Canis lupus familiaris: one gene and its partners. The protein of the gene in region 3 interacts with the protein of the main gene of each other region in a pairwise test. Links are inferred from orthologs where the notes say so. Each region holds a gene or a part of one and is shown on either strand. Other genes may lie near its edges. The genes, in order: TTLL10, SLC25A46 and FHL3.

What was found.
Region 1: the proteins of FHL3 (region 3) and TTLL10 interact in binary tests that used the Homo sapiens proteins (3 or more experiments, as listed by UniProt). The two-hybrid records come from large-scale screens. The link is inferred for Canis lupus familiaris from reciprocal best matches to the Homo sapiens genes FHL3 and TTLL10.
Region 2: the proteins of FHL3 (region 3) and SLC25A46 interact in binary tests that used the Homo sapiens proteins (3 or more experiments, as listed by UniProt). The two-hybrid records come from large-scale screens. The link is inferred for Canis lupus familiaris from reciprocal best matches to the Homo sapiens genes FHL3 and SLC25A46.

Annotation. Positions count from the first base shown.
Region 1 is NC_049226.1:56,846,373-56,850,397, reverse strand, and holds part of TTLL10 (inactive polyglycylase TTLL10), read right to left. Parts: intron 3,975-4,025; exon of another isoform or gene 3,890-3,974; intron 1,076-3,889; coding exon 926-1,075; intron 829-925; exon of another isoform or gene 796-828; coding exon of another isoform or gene 626-795; intron 446-625; coding exon 380-445; intron 1-379. UniProt on the Homo sapiens protein: Inactive polyglycylase.
Region 2 is NC_049224.1:1,725,424-1,729,548, forward strand, and holds the start of SLC25A46 (solute carrier family 25 member 46), read right to left. Parts: upstream 2,555-4,125; 5' UTR 2,483-2,554; coding exon 2,203-2,482; intron 1-2,202. UniProt on the Homo sapiens protein: Transmembrane protein of the mitochondrial outer membrane that controls mitochondrial organization.
Region 3 is NC_049236.1:4,653,122-4,657,246, reverse strand, and holds the start of FHL3 (four and a half LIM domains protein 3), read right to left. Parts: upstream 2,455-4,125; 5' UTR 2,368-2,454; intron 1-2,367. UniProt on the Homo sapiens protein: Recruited by SOX15 to FOXK1 promoters where it acts as a transcriptional coactivator of FOXK1.

The DNA of each region.
Region 1 (4,025 bases), on a different chromosome or scaffold from region 3:
GTAAGCCATGAGTTATTGTTTCTTGTCATTGAAGTTAACAGAGATTAAGGGCAGAAAAAGGGACTGTGGGTGGGCACGCAGGCGGTGCATTGTGGTGTCTGCACAAGGCTGGTGGAGTGACAGGTGGGCATGTGGTGCGGGTGTCAGACCTCCCGGCTCCGTGAGCCTTCTGCCTTAGCGCTTGCACTTTTCAGGGTTTCTCTGGACATAATTCTAAATACAGAGACAAAGCTTTGTGGTCAGAGACGTTGAGGGCATGCGTTGATCCCACGGGTGAAGGATGGCCACCAGACAAGACAGGGCTGTGGAAGCAGGGACCGCACTGCCGGGGGCAGGGGACAGCTCGACTCTACAGTAAATTTTGAAATAAACTTTTTACCTGGTGAGGTAAAAAGACCGGCAGGAAGCAGCACCCTGGTGTGATGAAAGGAAGACCCCGGTGAACCTGCAGAACATGTCCAAGCAAAGGAGATGTCAGGGTCCTGCCTGCGTCTTCTCCTCAGACACACGAGTGCCGTCATAGGTGCTGGGAGGTGCTGACACTGTTGGGTGGGTTGGGGCCTCCTGGCTGGGGGTGGACTCTCTGGGAGGGCGGCCTGTGTGGGGCTGGTCCGGGAAGACAGACCTAGTTCTGGGCAAGGGGGCTCGTCCTGAGGAGCCACCACCCCCAGAAGGTGCACTCCTCTCGGCCTGGCCCGAGGGCTCGTGATCCTCATGCAGCAGCTCTGGGGGTGTGGGTCGCCCCCAGAGGGGGCTCATCTCAGTCAGGACTCCCCTCTCCTGACCCTCCTTCATCTCCCTTCTGCTCCTGGGCAGAGTCCTGAGAGAACCCACGGGGTCTCCGGTGGAGAGGGTGCACAGGACGGTGGCCACGGCCCTCACGCCCAGCAAGGACTCGCGCCGCTGGCCCACCTCTCCCTCTTACCTGCCCAGCAAAGTGGTGTGAGTCCTCTGCCGGGGGAACAACAGTGGTGGCCTGGCAACAGTCTCTGGGCAACAGCAACCCTGTGGCCCAGAGGTGAGGGGAGCAGGGCAGGCACAGGAGGCCAGGCTCTGAGGGGAGCTGGGCAGGGGGCTGTGGGAGGGAGGGAGGATGGGGCTTGGCCAGAGCCAGAGCCATGGTGTGCATGGTCCCCACCTGGGCCTTGGGTCCTCCACAGGAGCACCCCGCAGCCTTCCGAAGACCCCCAAATCCATGGTAGGACCCCAGGACCTGACCCTGTGCTCTTTCATCTCCTGTCACTACAGCCTCTCCTGTGTAGTGTCAGCCCTCCGGTCACACAGCCTCATTACCCTCAGAGTGTCCTGTGGGTCTCAAGGCTGTGTCTGCCTATGGTACCCTAACTTGTGGGGCTGGAGGGTGGCCCCCAAATGAGCCCATGTCTGAAGCCCCAGAACCTGCAGATGTGACCTTACTTGGAAAAAGGGTATTTGCTGATGTGGTCAAGGATCTTGAAGGGAGATCCTCCTGGATTAGCTGGAGGCCCTGCATCCTCACAAGAGGGAGAAAGAGAGAGGAGACCCGGGAGAAACCACGTGAAGACGGGAGCAGGGGCTGGTGTGGCCACAGCCCAGGGAGGCTGGAAGGGCAGGAGGGGGTGTCCCCTAGAGATGGGAGAGAGTGCCCCCCGCCCCCACCTGCATCTCTGACTTGTGCCTCCTGGACTGTGAGAGAATACATTTCTGTGATTTCAAGCCCCCCGTCTGTGGTTATTGGTCACATGGCCCCAGGAGACAAACATATCCCTTAAACTGCTCCTTTTGAGGTCCTGTGGATGACCCCCACAATGGCGAGGCCTCTCTGACTCCACACAGAGGCTGATGCACCCCCAGGCTCCTTGCCTGTTTGTGCCAGTGCTGGGGGCTCCAGGGGTCCGTCCTGCTGGACTATGGTCTCTGACTCTGCCCTGAGGTGGCCGTGCATCAGCCTGGATGTCAGAGAGCTCATCCAGCCAAGCCCCCAGCCTGGGCCTGCTGGGGCAGCGGTGGGTATGGGGAGTGGGGCCCCTGGTCTTCTTGGTGGCCTGAGCACAGAACCCCCTCCAGAATCTGTGCTCCCTCCCCATATCAACTCTGGGGGCCCAGGCCCCTTGGAGGCACCCAGGCTGGGCCAGCCCACCACCCTGGGTCCCCAGCCTTTGCCGACACAAGATCTTGAACTCCAAAACCCTGCCTCATAACCTGTCCAACTGGATGGTGTGGGCGCCGCCCCAGCCTTTCTCATGATGATAATGGCCTGGGGCTGGGCACGTCACTGCGCATCTGCACCCTGGAGCGAAGCAGGGGAATCATTAACTTGCCATGGGGCAAGTGGGCAGCCCAGGGCCTCCAGGCTGGGGGCCGAGCCCTTCCTGCAGGGCTGGGGGTGCAGGGGAACGGCCCAGCCACTTCCTGCCTGGTTGTGTAGTTGGTGACTTTGCTGGGACCAGGCTGTGCCACCTGGACACTGGGCCTGGAAGTCCTCCTGTCTGATGGCGTGCAGCCCCTGGCCTCTGGTACTTCTGCTTGGCTCCTGCAGGTGTCTGCATGGCCCTCTTGGACATCTGCTCCTAGAGGCCTTCCTGGGCCACTGTAACCCCACTCCCCCACCCAAGCACCACCTTCTTGACTGCCCAGGCAGCCCTCCTAGTTGACAGGCCCTGCCTCCCAGCCTCATCACCATTGCCCCTCCTTCTCAGGCATGTTCCTCTTCCCCACAGTATGCAGGATTGTGCGAATCTGCAAAAGGTTCTCAGGAGAGATTTGGTAATGGAAGGAGAGAAGGTGGGGAGGAGCTTCCCCAGAGTCCCCAGAGGTCCCCTCCTCCTCGACTCTGGCTGCTGAGCACTTGGGCCAGACGTAGACCCTAGGACCTAATTAGAATTCTTAAGGGAAGGAAGGGGCTTTAGGGGTCAGCCCTGAGGCTGAGGATGGATTAGCATCCAGAAGTTTGGTTTGAGGATTACTTTAGACAGGGGACATGTGCATGAGTACCTAGTGGGTAGAGGAGAGGGGAGCAGGGAGGGGGCTTCAGGGTGGGAGCCCAAGATTAAGGGCTGCCTGCCCTTCGACCCCCATGGTGATGGTCTGGCACCCGGAGGGTGCTCCCTAAGCTCTGGAGATGGGCCTGTGGGGACCGGGTGGGGCCCTGGGCTAAGGCTGTAGAAGAAGCAAAGGTGGCCTGCACCCCCTCCACTACCCATCTCACCCTTTCCCCGAGCTTCTTGCTCTAGGCAGAGGGGTAGGGTCTTATCCAGGGGGTCTCTGCGCCAGCAGTCTGCAGTGTCCTGGTGCTGCCTGGGGCGAGGGGCAGAGCATGGGTGCGCTGCTGGCTCTGCATGCCCTGCCTTGCCCTGGGTTGGAAGTTTGAAGATCTGGGGCTGCTTTGGTCTTGTCGTCCTCAGGCCCCGCTCTGCCGGGCTCAGGTGTGTAGAGGGGTGAGGGGTGAGGTCACTTCCCTGGAGAGGGCTCTAGGCGGGGCTCCAGGAGAGTGACTGACTATGGCCCCTGGGCTGGTTTCTGGCTTCAGGGCAGTGCCGACAGCACAGTACGGTGTCTGCCTCACCTGCTGGCAGACCCTCAGGGTGGGGCCGCTGGACCCTGCAGCCCCACTCACCCACACACCTGAGAGGAAGAGAAGCCAGCCACCTCCATACCTCACACCCTTTATTATGCAGAGAATCCGTCATGGCTATGACAGAAAGGCCAAAGCCTGGGAAGGGCTCCCTGGTCTGGGTCATGGCCTGGGTCACAGCGGCTGGGGAGGACCCTGCCTGACCTGTGCCCTGCAGGGGACACAGGGGCCCCGGGCCTGGGCAGGTGTGCACCGCCTGGCTCAGCCACGAGCGGGCCCACAGGCCTCGTCCTCCCCCTGGTGTCCCCGCAGGGGCTCCTCCTCGGCGGTGGTCAGGCCATGGATGAACGGCATTACCAGACAGTATTAGACACCAGAACCCAGATCTAACCGTGTCTGGTAAGACGCCCATCAGCAGGCTGTGGTGCGGGCGGCCTCCAGGCGGTGGCACTTCCAGGACAGGAGTGCGCTG
Region 2 (4,125 bases), on a different chromosome or scaffold from region 3:
CTCCTTTCAGCTTTTCCCTTTTTGAGTATACAGATCATAGTATTAACAGAAAATGCCTCATTTTAACCGTGTAAATCATAAAAAGATAAAAATCAGCTTTGCTGCCTAAGAAAGTAACTGTGTGCACGAGCATTTTGAATTATTTAATAACCTTCCAGGACTCCTTTTGGAACCTTACAGAAAGAAAAGCAGACAGGGTGGAAAAGCAAAGTGTCTGACACTAAGTTACGCATCCTCTTCCACATCCTCGTTTGCTCCTATGTGATATTTAAAGTCTACGCCTCCCAGTTGACTCAAATCAAATAAAAATCACTGTACTTCCAAGTTAAAATGAAGAACGAACATGTCGAGAATATACTTAATATTGAATGGTCGAGTCTAATGACTTCAAAATGGGAAGAGGCAGTGATTATTCCCATTTTATGAATTTTAAAAAGTTGAGAGTGTTTAGACGACAGCGTTGCAATGAAAACCCAGGCTTCCTGACGTCCCAGGGCGAATAACTACGCCTTGATTCCAAAGTCTTGAAATTGTTTACTCTTTGGTGGTGTTTCTAGGTGAGAAATAGGAAAGCAGGGGATGGGAACACGGAGGGGGCGTGTGAGAGTCTAGGAAACAGATACAATTGCTAAGACTAAGAGAAAAGGAAGGAACCGGGTAGGTCCGGCTTACTAAGCCTCCACCACAGCTCATGAGCACCTGGCGCTGTGAATGACTCTTCTCTCCACCTTAAGGGCTCCAGACGCCAAGAAAAGGCCTCCGCTTCCCAGGGAGGCAGAGCCGGGCTCGCAGCAGGGCTGCCGAGGCTGACTCTCCAGCACAGATGCACAGATGCAGAGCTCGGCAGCAGGTCAAGGCAGGGAGCGCAGGGAACCAGGTATCGCTCACGTTCCCCAGGAAGCAGCAGGTAGTAGCCCGATCTCCTCCCTCCGGATGGAGGCCCGGGGACCTCCCACCACCAGCCTCCCTGACAGCACCCGGGAGGAGAGGGCTGTGGGTGGGGCGGGGAGGAAGCGGCGCTGCAGGGAAGGGACGACGGAGCGGCGGACGGAGGGGGGGCGGAGGAGGGTAGACGGGAGGGGGGACAGAGGGACGCAGGGGTGGAGGAGGGGGAGGGGGCACAGGAGATGGGAGGGGAGACGGGGGAAGGACAGGAGGGGGAACGCGAGGGGATGAGAGAGGGAGAGGGGACAGGGAACGGGATGGGAGGGGGACGAGAAGGGGGCGGAGGGGGAAAAGGGAGGGTCGGGAGACCGACTGGGGGGTGGGTGGGAGAGGGACGGACGGGGGGGGGCGATGGAGGGGGACGGGGCAGGGGAGGAGGCGGAGGAGGGGGACCGGGGGCGACAGGAGATGGGAGGGGGAACAGGAGGGGATGAGAGACGGAGGAGAGAACAGGGAACGGGAGGGGAGAAAGCACGGGGGAAGGGGACGGAGGGGGAAAGGGGAGGGTCGGGAGAGGGAACGGGAGAGGGATGAGGGGTGGGACAGGGGACGGGGGAGGGGATGGAGGAGGATGGGAGAGGGGATGGCAGGGGACGGGGGGCGGAGGAGGGGGGACAGAGAATGGGAGGGGGGAAGGGGGAGGGACGGGAGGTGGGGACAGGGAACAGGATGGGGGAAGGGACGGAGAACAGGGGGGACTGGGAGGGGACAGAGGGGGAAAGGGAAGGGTCGGGAGAGGTGAAGAGGGGGTGGGATAGGAGACGGGAGGAGGGGATGGAGGGGGACGGGAGGGGTGTCAGGAGATGGAATAGGGACGGGGGGAGGGACGGGAGGGGATGGGGGGACAGGGAACGGGATGGGGGAAGGGACGGAGAGGGGACTGGGAGAGAACGGAGGGAGAAAGGGGAGGGTCGGGAAAGGGGACTGGAGAGGGACGGGGGGATGGAGGGGAATGGGGGACAGGAGGGGGGACAGGGGACGGGAGGGGACGGGGCGAAGGGACCGGAGGGGATGAGGGCGAACTGGAGGGGGAGGGGACGAGAGGGAATGGGCGGGGACAGGAGGGGACACAGGAGGGGACGGACGGACGGACGGGGGCAGAGGGCGTGGGAGGCGGGACCGACCGTCGGCGCCCCGCGCGGTGTGCAGGCTGCGAGCCGGGCTCCCCCCAGCCCCCTCCCCACCCCCCCGCGGCCCTCACCGCTGCTTCCCCTCCCCTCCCCTCCCCCTCCCTCCCCCGCCCCCCGCGGCCCTCACCGCTGCTCCGCCCTGGCGCCCCGCCGCCGCCGCCTCCGGGACACGGCTGTTCGGGGCCGTCGAGCGGCGTGGAGGGCCCGGGCGCGCCGTAGGGCGGGCTCCGGTCGGCCCAGTGCAGGTTGCGGCTCCCGGGGATGTCCGGGGGGCTGGTCACCCAGTGGGTCGGGTCGGACGCCGAGCCGAAGGGCCGCGCGGGGAAGGCGCCGCCCACAGCCTGCTCGTCCCGGGCCCCGCCCCGGTAGCCCAAGCCGTCGAAGCCATCCGGGCGCCGCGGGTGCATCGCGAGCCGGCAGGGTGACGCCCCCCCGAGCCGCCGCTGGGGCCGCCGCGACCTCGGGCCACACCGCGCCGCCGCCGCGTCCGGGGAAATCTGACAACCGGAAGTCACGGCGCCCACCCGGAAGTGCGCCGGCCACGTGACCGCAGCGTCTTCCGGCGCTCGCGGGACGGGGTTGCCAGGGAGACGCGGCGGCAGCTTAGGGCGGAGCCGCCAGGCCGGGGCTGCTCGCGGGGGGCGGCGGAGGGGCCGCGGGCCTGGGGGGCGGGTGCCGACGAGCTGCCGGAGGCCCGGGCCGCCTGGAAGCTGGCTGCGCACGGTCCGCGGAGGCACGGGACGCGCCGGTGCCGCTGACTCCGGGCCGGCCCGGCCGCCGAGGCCCACACGGGGAGCGCGCAGGGGTCGCGCGGGGGAGCGCGCAGGGAGCTCTCGGAGCTCTCGGAATGTGCAGGGGGCGCGCGGGGAGGGCGCAGGAGGTGCGCGGGTAGCTCTCGGGGCGCGCAGGGAGTTCGCAGGGGGCGTGCAGGGAGCGCGCAGGGAGCGCGCAGGGCCGCAGGGGGCGCGCGGGGAGTTCGCAGGGGGCGTGCAGGGGACGCGCAGGGGGCGCGCGAGGGGCGTGCAGGGAGCTCTCAGGGAGCGCGCAGGGGGCGTGCGGGGGGCGCGCGAGGGGCGTGCAGGGAGCTCTCAGGGGGCGTGCAGGGAGCGCGCAGGGGGCTCTCAGGGAGCGCGCAGGGGGCGTGCGGGGGGCGCGCGGGGAGTTCGCAGGGGGCGTGCAGGGGGCGCGCGAGGGGCGTGCATGGAGCTCTCAGGGGGCGTGCAGGGGGCGGGCGGGGAGTTCGCTGGGAGCTCAGGGAGCGCCCAGGGGGTGCGCAGCTGGCTCGCTGGGAGCTTGCAGGGGGCGTGCAGGAGCGCGCAGGCGTTAGCGTTGCGGGCTGTTGGCCTCGGTGCAGCCCCGCCCCGCGTCCTGCCCGTAGGGGGGCCGTCGAGGCCTAGGTGGAGGGAACCCCTTCCCCGTCGGCTCTCCCGGCACAAACTGCTCGCCGGACGGGGGGAGTCGAGCATGTTGCTTCCCGAAGGCCACAATACAGTTGCAAACGGGTTTCTTTCTTTTTTTCCGGGTGCATCTAAATCAGTCCGTGTATGTAAAGCCCAATGATCCTGTTGAAAATTGAGGCTCGCGGGGGACAACTGGGAGGCCCTGTGAGCGGAGCCCCCCACTACCCCGACGCCACCCTTTCCTGCAGGTGGTGCCTCCACCGCCTGGGCTGCTAGGCGGCCTGGCTCTTGGGCGAGGCCCTAGGGCTGCCCAGGAGCGCAGGAGCCCAGACCGATCTACTGGGCGACTAACTTCTAACCAGTTGTGCCCCCTGGTGAGGCAAAGTATATCTCTGTTCCTTACAAACGATTGAATTAAAGATGCCACAGGCCCAGGTCCAAAACTTTTAAAAGGAGAAGGAGGAAAAGGCAGCTGTGTGTGTGTGTGCGCGCGCACTTCTAATAAAAATAACATTTCACAATTTCACATCCCATATCAATGAAGAAAGGATACAGTAGTAGAAGGAGAGCTGGGCAGCCTGTTGAGGGGAGGGAGCAAGAACAGCCCCCTTCACAGCTCACCCCGCAGAAATTCCAGCTGCGATATATAT
Region 3 (4,125 bases):
GAAGAGAACCAGTCTTATATTCCCTCATGGCCTGGGGAGGGGGGGTTACGGAGGAGACTGCTCAGTCTGCCAAATGGCTCTCAACTCTTGTCCTCAACACACACACAAACACACACTCACACACACACCACCCCTACACCTGACACACACATCTGGCACCTTCCAGTGAGCCTCCCAGAGGTTAGAATGGCTAGATAAATGGCTGTGGCACAGTGTATAGTAGGCCCAAATGTGGCTTGGGGTGGGCATCCTGACTTCTTCCCTTACTAGCTGGGTGATCTTGGGCAAGTCACTTAAGGTTCCTGGGCCTGTTTTCCTCTACGCCTACCCCCTTCTCCCGGGGTTGTCGTCAGGCTGAAATGGTGGTGCTTGGAAAGCACCTGGCAGAAAGGGACTCCTCAGTGAATGGTAGCTGTGGGCGTTTTTATGATCAGCCCCTCACTCATACGGGGGTCAGACAAATTTCTGAGCCAGGCCTGGCTCAGGGAGCTGGCCTGGGTTTTGACCTGGACATTCTCAGGGTAGATTCAGGGATAGACCAAAGAGGGACCCCCACCCCCACTCCCCAGTTCCACTAGGGGAAGTGAAGAAGCCCAGGCCGTGGGGCTGCCTGAGGAGATCAGTGGGGCCGGCCTGGTGCCAATGAGCATAACTCCTGAGACCCCTCACACAGGTACACAGGTGTACACACCTGCATGCTGCTTGGCCTCCCATAAAGAGAAATCCCATCCACTATTTCACCAGATCTCCCAAAAGGCAGGCAGAAGAGCATGTCATTCCCATCTTACAGTCGAGCACAGGGACAAGCCAGGCCCAAGGTCACTCAGGCCTCGGAGAGCCCAGGTTCCCTGCTTCCCAGCCTGGAGCCCTTTCCTGTTTTTCTCTCTAAAAATGCTGCAGCGGTGGCAAAACGGGGTGGTCAACATTTTAAGAGCAGGGGTGTGGGAGATACTCGGTGACATCACTAGCACAGGAGTCTCACTCTTCTCCCCCAGCTGCTAACCCTGCCATTGGAAGGCACCCAGAAGCCTTTCCAACTGCCCATGCCAACCGTTCAACTCCTTTGCCCCCATCCACCCTGCACTGTCGGGGAGGACCCTGGCCAGGCCTCACAGCTGTGAGTCAGGATCAGATCAGACCCCTCCTCCCAGCTCCCAGGAACTGACAGGAGATTTAAGGGGAGAAACCTAACCCCCCCCAGCCCCCAACCTCCGGTATCAGGCACCAACCCCAAACTCTCCCTCTCCCCACCCCTCCCCGCCATGGGGCCTGGGAGTCAGAGCAGTTTAGGGGAAGGAGGGCGGGAAGCGGGATCCAGCAGCTGCCTTGGGGACAGGAGAGGAACAGTTCATTCACCCCGGGTCCCCCAGGGCTGAAGCAGCATGTCCATGATTTGAGTTTAAAAATAAGTTGGGGCTGTCTTGGTGTGTGCCTGGGGCTCCTTTCCGACGTGCCTGTCTCAGGTCCTTGCCTCACGGGGCTCTGGCTGGCCCAGAGTCTCTGTTTCCCCGCACCCCTGCTTCCCAGTCTTTCTCAGGCCTCCGTGTCTCGGGGTCTGTCTGGGAAGCTGTCAGGGCGCCTCGAGCAAAGCCAGCTGCGCCCCACGCAGCGCGACTGAGCCTCTGCACACCTCAGCTGTCTTCGTGTTTTGGGGACCTGTGTCCCGGGCTAGTGACCTCTGCTCATTTCTACCTCTGTACACCCAAATCTCCGTAACTGAGTGCCTCCAAGGGGTTCCCACCCCGACCCCTTCGCTTCCTCCTCGGAGCACCTCTGTTCCTGAGCGTCCCTGTCTGCAGTTTCTGGACGGCTCCATAGGCCTCACAGAGGCTGATCTGCCACAGGGCTAAGGAAGCTTAGGCTTCGGGGCCCCTCACCGCCCGGGACCCTGCAAAGCCCTGGGAAGGGCGCTGCTCCGTGTTCACCGGGGTCAGGGGACGCTTCTCCTTCGAGTGCTCCAACCCACAAAACCTAGGTCCGTCCAGACGCCTCCGGTCTCCCTCTCGGGGACTCTACGCCCCCAGAACCTGTCCCTGACTCCCTGACTCGGGTCCCCGTGCAGCCCCCTGTCCAAGCCTGCCGCGCGGGCCCGCGTCTTGGTCTGGCTCCGCCCGGCTTTCAGGGAGCCTCAGTTTCCCCAACCCTCCAGGTCCCGCGCTCGACTCTGGCTTCTCCGTTTCAAACTTGGCCCCTTCCCCCCCCATCCCCAGGTGTCGAGCAGCCCCCCCCACCCCGCCGGGCGGCCGGGATCGGGGCGGTCCCGGGGGTGGGGGGGCGCCCTCCGGGGCTCGGCGCCCCCCGCTCCAAGCGCGCCCCCCGGGGCGTCGGGGGGCCCCGGGCGAGGAGCCGGCCTGGGCGGGAGCTCACCTCGGAGCGGGCGGCGGGAGCGGGGAGGCCGGGCCGCGCGTCCCTCGGTGGCTCGTACCTGCGGGCCGGGCGAGCGGGGCCGGGCGGGGCGGGCGGGGCGAGCGGGGCGAGCGGGGCGAGCGGGCGGCCGGCGGCGCTGCCGGAGCGCACGGACCCAGCGGGCGAGTGGAGCGCGGCCCCAACCCCTCCCCGAGGAAGTGCGCGCCGGGCCCGCCCCGCCCGGACCCCGCCCCCGGCCGCCCCCGCCCCGCACCCCCAGGCCGGGGGCCAGACCCCGCCCACACCCCCCCTCGGGCCCGCGGGTCTAACCTGGCTCGCCCGACCTTCCCCGGCGCCGGGACCCCGCCCCCGTCCCCTGCTCGCCTCCGCCGTCCCCTCCCCTGCTGCACCCCCTGCACCCCCCAGCAGCCCGCTGGAGACGGCCTGCTGCACTCGATCTCCAGCACGGGGGCCGGCACCCAGCCCACCCAAGTCCCCTGGGGTCCTCACTCATGGCCTCTTCGTGCGCCCCCACTCCCACCTTCCAGCTCATCCCCTCAGGGTCACACCTAGACCCAGCTTGTAAAGGGGCCTTAATCAAGCCTGGAGGCCCGGGAGTGTGTGTGTGTGAGGTGGCTTGACTCTGCTGTCACGGCCCTCCCTATCAATGGGAACCAAGGTGTTCTCTGGAAACAGGGAGTGAAGAAGGGACCCCCCCACCTCCGCCTCCGCCTGACCCCAGACTGGGCCTTGACCTTCAATGATTTCACAACTTTTGAGTGGCAAAAACAGAAGTACCCCCCACCTCCTCACCTCCGGAGGCACCCTGGGACAGAGAAGTTCGGCCTTGGGTTTCCACAGTGCCCAGGAATAGTTATGACCTTTGAGGCCCAGGGGAGACCCTAATCCTTGGCCCCATGGTTTTTGGGTTTCTCAGGGAGGGGTGTGAAGAGTGTGCGCGGATGGGGCACCGCAGGGTTGGTGGAGGGAAGTGGAGGGAACCCTTCCTCCCCCACCTCTACAGTTTCCAATCCTCTGGCTTTCTCCCTGCGCCCCAGGAGGGAGGACTGCTGCCTGCCAGGGACACAAGGCCCCTCCAGGTCCTTGGGCCAATCCCCCTGGGATCCTCAGGCTTGTCACTAGGCATAAATAGCCTCGATCTAGAAGGGTGGGGAAGGGAGGAGGAGGCTGTGCTGTACTGTTTGCAAAACAGGAGACAACAAACTGACTCTAGAAATAACCTCAGCATCTAGAGTAGAGACTCAGGTGCCACAGGGCTTCTCCCATCCCCCAGGCTGGGTCTAGCCAAGCTCTCAGAACAGAGACTCATTTGCTCCCAGGCCAGGCCTCCTGAATACCTTCCTCTCCCATCTCTAAATCATATTCCTGTCTTCCCGGATCCCAAGTCACCGTCGAGGCCAGGTTTCCTCCCCAAATTAAACTATTTGCTTGGTTATTGTTCCTAATGCCTAGATTGTCATGAGGCCATGAGGGCAGGACTGGGTTCTTCTTGTTCACTACCACATTCCCAGTACCTACTCCTATGTCTGCCATATAATAAATATTGAACGAATGAATGAATGACAGACGCTGCTTCAGTTTCAACTCCTCCCCACCCCAGTTTGGACCTCAGGTACCTGCTACCTGGAGTCCAGGGAGTGACCAGCCAGCGCATGGGTGAGCCTTTCTCTGGCCTTTGTCATCTAGGTGTAGGAGGCTCCTTGCCTTGGGAAGGGCTCTGAGGTGAGGGGAGAGCAAAGATGAGCAGCTTTCAGAGAG